Linked DNA regions of Coturnix japonica. The protein of the gene in region 1 purifies or fractionates together with the protein of each later gene. This does not show direct contact. Links are inferred from orthologs where the notes say so. Each region holds a gene or a part of one and is shown in the gene's direction. Other genes may lie near its edges.

The links.
Region 2: the proteins of BRMS1L (region 1) and SIN3A purify together in Homo sapiens (affinity purification with mass spectrometry; 3 studies listed by BioGRID, with this or other methods). This does not show direct contact. The link is inferred for Coturnix japonica from reciprocal best matches to the Homo sapiens genes BRMS1L and SIN3A.

Annotation. Positions count from the first base shown.
Region 1 is NC_029520.1:32,955,541-32,959,357, forward strand, and holds part of BRMS1L (breast cancer metastasis-suppressor 1-like protein), read left to right. Parts: intron 1-644; coding exon 645-684; intron 685-1,515; coding exon 1,516-1,642; intron 1,643-2,835; coding exon 2,836-2,959; 3' UTR 2,960-3,817. UniProt on the Homo sapiens protein: Involved in the histone deacetylase (HDAC1)-dependent transcriptional repression activity. When overexpressed in lung cancer cell line that lacks p53/TP53 expression, inhibits cell growth.
Region 2 is NC_029525.1:1,962,153-1,965,969, reverse strand, and holds part of SIN3A (paired amphipathic helix protein Sin3a), read left to right. Parts: intron 1-135; coding exon 136-228; intron 229-549; coding exon 550-644; intron 645-1,174; coding exon 1,175-1,382; intron 1,383-3,145; coding exon 3,146-3,376; 3' UTR 3,377-3,817. UniProt on the Homo sapiens protein: Acts as a transcriptional repressor. Corepressor for REST. Interacts with MXI1 to repress MYC responsive genes and antagonize MYC oncogenic activities. Also interacts with MXD1-MAX heterodimers to repress transcription by tethering SIN3A to DNA.

The DNA of each region.
Region 1 (3,817 bases):
CCATCTGTCTTGTGGTGCTGACGTGAAAACCTGTCTGTTTTCCTGTCTCATTGGAGGCACAGATTAAAAATAGCTTTCACTCAGTTTCTTTGCTGTAATGTAACATGATTTAAAGAAATAGCAACAACAAAAAAGAATTAAAAATCTACTTTGCTGCATATGATTCACAGCTTTTCACTCACGTGAATTGTCTGCTTGTGGGTATAACTTAATAATCTGGAGGGTGTGTTGTTCAGATAGCACTTAGTTTTTCAGAACCAGAATTATTGTCATTTTGTGTTGGTTTTTTTTGTTTGTTTGTTTTGTTTTGTTTTTTTTAATAGAATAATGGCCATTTTTGAGAATTTTATTTAGGAAACTTGAAATTAGTAAAGTCAAAACTCATTAGAGAATGTCATTTTTCCTCCCCTCCCCAAATAGTTAAAAGCAAGTGTAACCAAGCAGTTCATATTAATAAAGTAACGTTTGCTTTTTCCCCCAAAAAGTACTCAAAGTTTGCACGCATTTCATAGTGTCATCAGTATCACATAACATTAATGCTGCACATAAAAACAAATGTCTTGAGCTGTGCTGTGCAAAACAATTTGAGCTGGCAATTAAGAAAAAAATGTCTGCTGACTGTCTTCATTTTCTTTTGTTTCTAGGCAATGGCTACATTGGGGCCACACAGAGTAAAGCCAGAACGTAAGTAAATGTTGTCTGATTTCACAAGACAGAGCTTGCAATATACAGTGATGCAAACTGCATTGAAGCAGGCTATATTTATTTTAGCCTTGGTATGCTGAACACAGGGTAGGGTGAGCTAATTGGAATATGTCTATCCCTGCTCTGAGTTGTTGATAATTGCAGCTGGATTGGTGATTGTCATTGCTGCATGAATTGTAAAAATTAATTAAAAAATCAAGACTTCTAAGAGTGGGCTTTACTAGTGAATATTGGTATATTATGCCAATATTTTCATAAAATGAGGCAGAAAGCTGAAATCATCTGAATTTTAAGAGAGCATTCTGAACACACGTTGCATTCACTGCAAGTTGTAGCTCTGAAAAAACATATATGGAAAAGGAGTGGTAAATGATAACATGGTCTGAGGTTAGAAGCATATTAATGCTAGGTAAAATCAAGTGCTTGGAGGTAGTGAGTAATGATGAAAAGGGAGAGAAGACAAGTGGTTTCTTCAGTGGTCAGTTACTGCTTGCATTCGGGCATAATGCACTGATGAAGAGATTTCGGATTATGTGTCTTGTTGCATTATTCTAATTGTGAAATTTCACATCATAGATTGGAGGGTTGTATGAAAGAGAACTTAAAATGGAAATGCAGCTTTTAATTTATCTGACTGGAAAGAAATAAATATAATGCTTCTAATTTTCTTGCATTTGGAGCTAACTATCTAGAGAGAGACTACCTATGACAATGTAAAAATTGCATATGTGGTGTATAAATAATTTACTGGATGTTTATTTCTAAATCTTACCGACTTCTGCCAACTGATATTAAATTTGACTGTTTTAGCACCTGTCAAACTAGAGAAGCATCTACATAGTGCTAGATCTGAAGAAGGAAGACTGTATTATGATGGAGAGTGGTATGGACGTGGACAGACGATATACATTGATAAGAAAGATGAATGTCCTACAAGGTGAGTATTATTTTATTCAGTTCTCTATAGTCCTGTTAAGCAAAAGGCAACGTGGTGGCCTTGAAGAATAAATTGGAAATAAATTCATCCTTGTGAAGGTTGAATTTTACCGAAGGTAATTCGCTTTAGGATGGGATTTTATTAAAGGATTGAAGCTCTTAACCAATTTCTGGACAGCCTGTGATTTAAGGGTTGTGTTTGGGAATTTTCTTGCTGAGACTTTGATCTGTTGGCCAGCTGTAAAATATTTAATCATGGAAAACTACTTTTTGCTGTTGCTTGTGGAAGGAGTCTTGAAGATAAACTAGATCAAAACCCTCTGCTGTGACAGAGTTGCTATCCACTAGGCCAGGTTATCCATGGCCCAATCCAGCCTGGGCTTGAATGCCTTCAAGGATGGATCATCCACAGCCTCTCTGGGCAGCCTGTGCCATTACTTCACTACAGTTGTTATAAAAAACTTTTTCTTTTATTCAGTCTAAATCCTTCCTCTTTTGGTTTGAAGCAATTTCCCCTTGTCCTGTAATAGAGGACCCTGATAGAGTCTGTCCTCTGCTTCCACTGTTTTAATCTGTTTTTGAGCTATGTTTGGCACCAGTTCTGTTTGGAAGAAACATTTTAAGGTTTGGGTTTTTTCCCCAGTATTTGTGTTGGAGTTTACCACAAGGAGCATGAAATCAAAGATCATGTAAGAATGATTTGGTTAAATTAAATAGGTCAGGCTTTAGCTTTATTTTTCATGGTCCTGGTGCTGGGATTAACAGTTGAACACTTTCTTCCTTGTATTCATTTGTTTATTTGAGCTTTGTTTTAGTTCTACACCTTGGGGTTTTATAAGTTTAAGGATGTTCTGGAAATGCTTTCTAGTGTACTGTGGGTAGTCTATTGATTACTCTGAGTGACTGTCCTTCGTAACGTTTAAAGTATTTGTAGATGTGATGATTTTCTCATAAAAGAAATAAAAATAACTGTCTGAAAATTCAACTGTCTTTACTAGAAATATACACAGTTATTAAAAAATGGTGCCAAAACCATCCTTACAATGGAGTCAGTACTTTCTGAGCCTAGCGGTTATACCTACTATGTGTTTTCATTTACATTACAGCTGCAGTTTTTGATGTTATTTATTCTTTAACTTTGCTAAATGATTCTTATTTTTCTTTCCCTGGCCCTTCTTCCCTCATTTTCTGTAGTGCCATAATTACAACAATTAACCATGATGAAGTTTGGTTCAAAAGACCGGATGGAAGCAAATCCAAGCTGTATATTTCTCAGCTACAGAAAGGAAAGTATTCAATAAAGCATAACCACAACTGACTGTTGCTAAGCCATGCTTGATGTGCCATGGGATGAAAGTTGTATTTAATAGCGTTTTGTATTCCTCATAAATTTACAGCAGTATCTGATGTGTATTTGTAGCGCTGTATGTAAACTTCATATGGACGGCCTTCAGAAACCTGAGGATGTTAAATCATGTTAACTGACATTTTACCTCTAAATTGGGTCCAGTGCTTACGATATGAAGTATGCTCTTCAAATGTAATGGCTCAGAATTTCTCATTAAATGTTGATCTTTTAAAATGGAAAAAATAAAAAATTCTTTTTTTTTCATTGGTGACCAGTTTGTTTGATAAAAATAACACCCACAATGACCAGCAACTCCCTTTGTTTTCAGTGACCGTCATGCTTCTCTTGTGGATGAAAATTTAGCTTGTTCAGCTGTTGCTTTTGAATAGATTGTAACATGCATAAAGCATTATTTTATCCAAAGTGGATCAATTTATTGAAATTATTGCCCTCGACAGCTCTGCTAGTTCTGACTGTCTTATATTTTGTAAGGTTTACTACATTGTTTTTAATGAGACAAAGCCAATATTTTAAGTTAGAACTTTTCAGGAGCACCTTTCTAACTTAGGACTCTACAGTAAACATATTATTGGTGATTTGTTTTCTTCTTCCCCAGATAATCATCAAGATTTATGTGTAAAGTAGATAGTGTTCCTCTGACGTGTGTTACATGCAGCCCAAGAAGGGTGGCTGCTGGGATGATTATGTAAATACTGATGCATGCTTTGCTTATTTGATCCATAGCTGTATGGAATACGGTGAGGGTTTTTTCAAAAGGGAAAGCATATAACTGGGTAAATTTATCTTCTTCACCAAACATTATTTTCC
Region 2 (3,817 bases), on another chromosome or scaffold:
GTAATGCAGGGAGCAGGTTTTTGCCTTAAGACTATGCAAGCTGCTTCACTGTCCATTTACCCCAGAGAGAAGTAGAGGGGTATATTTTGTTCTGTTGGAAACCTCACTGAATCCCTTCTGCCTTTTGATTTACAGCTGATGTTCATCCAGAGCAGAGGCCAAGTTCAGTTAACCATTGAACTGCTGGACACAGAGGAGGAGAACTCTGATGACCCTGTAGAAGCAGAGGTAAGAGCTGCATGGCCAGAGAGATGACTATGATGGTCAAGGGTTTGCTGGACAAGGATGTCCAGTCGGTTGTCTGCACAAGATATAGAGACATCAACAAAGCATTGTAAAGCTTTCATTGATGTCAGTAGGTAAATCCTTCCTGGTTTATTTTATATCAGACAAGCCAGAAAATCACAAAGAGAAGCGTTGTACCTGCCTTTGTAGGAATTAAATACAGGGAGCATTCAGAGGTGTCCTAGTGCTCTCCTGTGTGACTTGCAATTTAGCTTAGGTTCAGTGGGAAAGCAGTGCCTTATGTTGTTGTGTGCTCACTTCCAGCGCTGGTCAGACTACGTGGAGCGGTACGTCAACTCCGACTCTACCTCCCCTGAGCTCCGGGAGCACCTGGCCCAGAAACCAGTCTTCCTGCCCAGGTAAGTGGCCAGGCTATGCCATGAACCCTCCCTGATGGGTCTGTCCCTTGGAGGGCAAAGGGTCGTGCTCTCCTGCAGCTCTGGGCCTTTGGTATCACCTGTGTTTTGATGCCACTACAGAAGCCATTATGCTGGCAGTGCAGCATAGAGGTACTGTGCTGCTGCTTGTCCAGAAAGCCTGTGGGTCCACCCTGGGCTCCTGCTCTCCAGTGACTGAGAGATGGCACGATCTGCAGGTGGCAGAGAGGGTGAGGGCTGCTTTCTGCCTTGGCTTACAGTAACCCTCTGCCTAGAACCACTGGGTGCCACAGCAGGGTTTTTCATGAGCAGGGAGCTGAATGCAAATAGCTGTGGTTTCAGAAATGGATAAATCCCATGGGGTGTCTTGTTGTAGAGGCCTAAATCTGAATGAATTTGATACAAGCTGTTGGTCAGGTTCTTGAGGGGCCAGCGCAGATGCAGCAGCTACCTCCAGCCTTGCAGTCCTAGAGGGTTGGCACTAATTCCAAGAGGGGTTCTCTGGTTTGCAGGAATCTGAGGCGGATCCGTAAGTGTCAGCGTGGTCGGGAGCAGCAGGAGAAGGAAGGGAAGGAGGGAAACAGTAAGAAGGCCATGGAGAACGTGGAGAGCTTGGACAAGCTGGAGTGTAAATTCAAACTGAACTCCTATAAGATGGTGTACGTGATCAAATCGGAGGATTACATGTACAGGAGGACTGCTCTGCTGCGAGCTCAGCAGGTAGGAGCGAGTGGAAGGACTTGGGGTGGGCAGCTGGGCTTTCCTGGGACCTCTTGCTCCCAAAGTCAGATGGGGAAGAGCCAGATGTAATGTCCTTTGGGGTCCCAGGGGAACATTCAGCAGTCTTTGTGTTGCCAGGAGGATGGTGTGCTATTCTGTCTTCCCCAGACACCAAAGATCTACTGAATGTTCCTAAGGTGTAATCTTTTCTTCTTGCCTTCTACTCTGCTCATCCTCTCGCCCCTCCCCTTCTCTCCAGAGTGTGTTTTGACCATTAGCTCCTCAATTTTTTATCCAGGAGACATTTTCCCCTTATGGTGGTCCCCATGTTGTAGGGAAGACCTGTCCTCCGCATGCAATTATAGTGCCTTTTGAGACATCCTGTTCTTCCAGGGCTTCCTCAACAAGAAGTCAGAGTGCAGAGCATCAAACGTTCTCTGTCTCAGCCATTCCTTCTGGGTACCATCCCTCAGCCTTTCCTGTCCCCAGTCACTGAGAGCTGGTTGCTCGCTCATGGCAGAGCTGCTCTACAACCACTGCTTTTATGGCAAGGACAAGCGCAGGGGAGCTCACAGCTCCACAAACCACCATGGGTGCTTTCGTGGGGATCTGAAATCCTCATCCTAAGGAGGGATTTGAGTGGAGAAACCTGGTTAGGTGTTCAGAATGCTCTGACACTGTTCTCGTCCCATGGGAATATTTCTGCCCAGCAGAGAAAACCTGGAGAGCTTTAAGAGTAAACTCCAGTCAGTATGGCTATGTAGGCTGGAAGTTTAAAGTACTTTGCTGTAATATTATTACAATCTACTTAAACAAAGCATTAACCAGAGCGTGGTTGCTTAGAATGTCAAAAGAAAGTGAAAAGGGTCAGACTTTGGTGAAAGCTGCTGGCTTAAGCAACCAGAAGCAGAGGTACCTGAGAGGTTCTGTCAGCAGCAGTCTCTTCTGTAGCTGCAGAAAATGGGTTTCTGTTTATTCAATTACTGTCTTCCTGAGCGACCTACTGACCGCTGAGAAAATTGGCTGGGAGATGAGGGAGTGGGAGAGGTGTCCTCTGCTTCCTGCCTAGGAAATCATCCCTTCACAGCTCTGTTGGACATTTATTTAAGCTTCTAAAAGGACTGCTCTCATCTATTTCTTGCTGATGAAATACAAGTAATGGTTTTATTTAATGAGCTGTAATTTAGTTAAACTCATATTCGCATCAGATAGAGTATTCCGTTTCAGCATTGGGTCTTTGAAATGTCGATGCTGGGGATTTTGATCGATTGAATTCCATCTACCCAATTCAATTGGCACAAGGTTGGAAAAACTGCTTTATAAGCAGGGTACCATGTGCTGGTGCTTATCGCAGAGTGTCTTAACCTCATCAAATTACTGAACCTCTTACACGATAGCGTGCAGCATAACTTCTCAGTATGCTGAAGGAAATGCAGAAGCTACATTTAACCACAAACCTGTTGACTGCATGGTAGGATGCAAGAAAATATATTTTAAATATATAAAAGAAAGAGAGAAAGAGCACTGTGCCAGAATGGCCTGTTTTTGGCACAATCTCTTGGTATATCCAAGTTCTTTTTGTCCTGTGATTCTCTTAGAGGTAGGCTTCTTGGGAAGAGACCTGTGGAGGCCTTCCTCAGGACCTTCCCTTTGCCACTAGCCAAGGGCCAGCACTTATGCTGCAGATCTGGCCTCTTTGCTATGTGTTACGCTGCAGCTTGGGGCTGGAGCCACCTCTCGTTAACACCTCTTTGTTTCTGTAGTCCCATGAAAGAGTGAGCAAGCGGCTGCACCAGCGGTTCCAGGCCTGGGTGGACAAATGGACCAAGGAGCACGTCACCCGTGAGATGGCAGCCGAGACGAGCAAGTGGCTAATGGGCGAAGGGTTGGAGGGCTTGGTGCCCTGCACCACCACCTGTGACACAGAGACCCTGCACTTTGTGAGCATTAACAAGTACCGCGTCAAATACGGCACAATATTCAAGACACCATAAATGCCCTGGGCCAGGGAAGATCCCGGGAGATGTGTGTGTGTGCGTGCGCATCAAGGAAACGAGGAAGATGCCTTTCTCCCCTCACTGTGTATCTCCGTTACATGGCCACTTGACTAGTGTGTGGCTGGTACAAGCTGTCACCAGCGGGATTCTCTGTAGGAACACGGGTGTCCCAGCACCTGCTGGGAGCCCTGCCCGCCGGCCCTTGGACTTCAGCATGCGCCCCACAGGGAAGGACCCTCTTGAACCTGAGCGGTCCTGGAGAGACGCAACGAGCTCATACGCACCAGCAGTGTTGAGGCTTTATTCCCCGGTGGCCTGAGCAGCGAGGGAGGAGAAATGGAGGAGGCTCTCCACCACCTGACCACCTCGGTGGTCTTCAGATTCCTTGCTTGGATGTGTCCCGCAGCCCAGAGGTGCTGGGCTCCCCAGTGGGCCCTC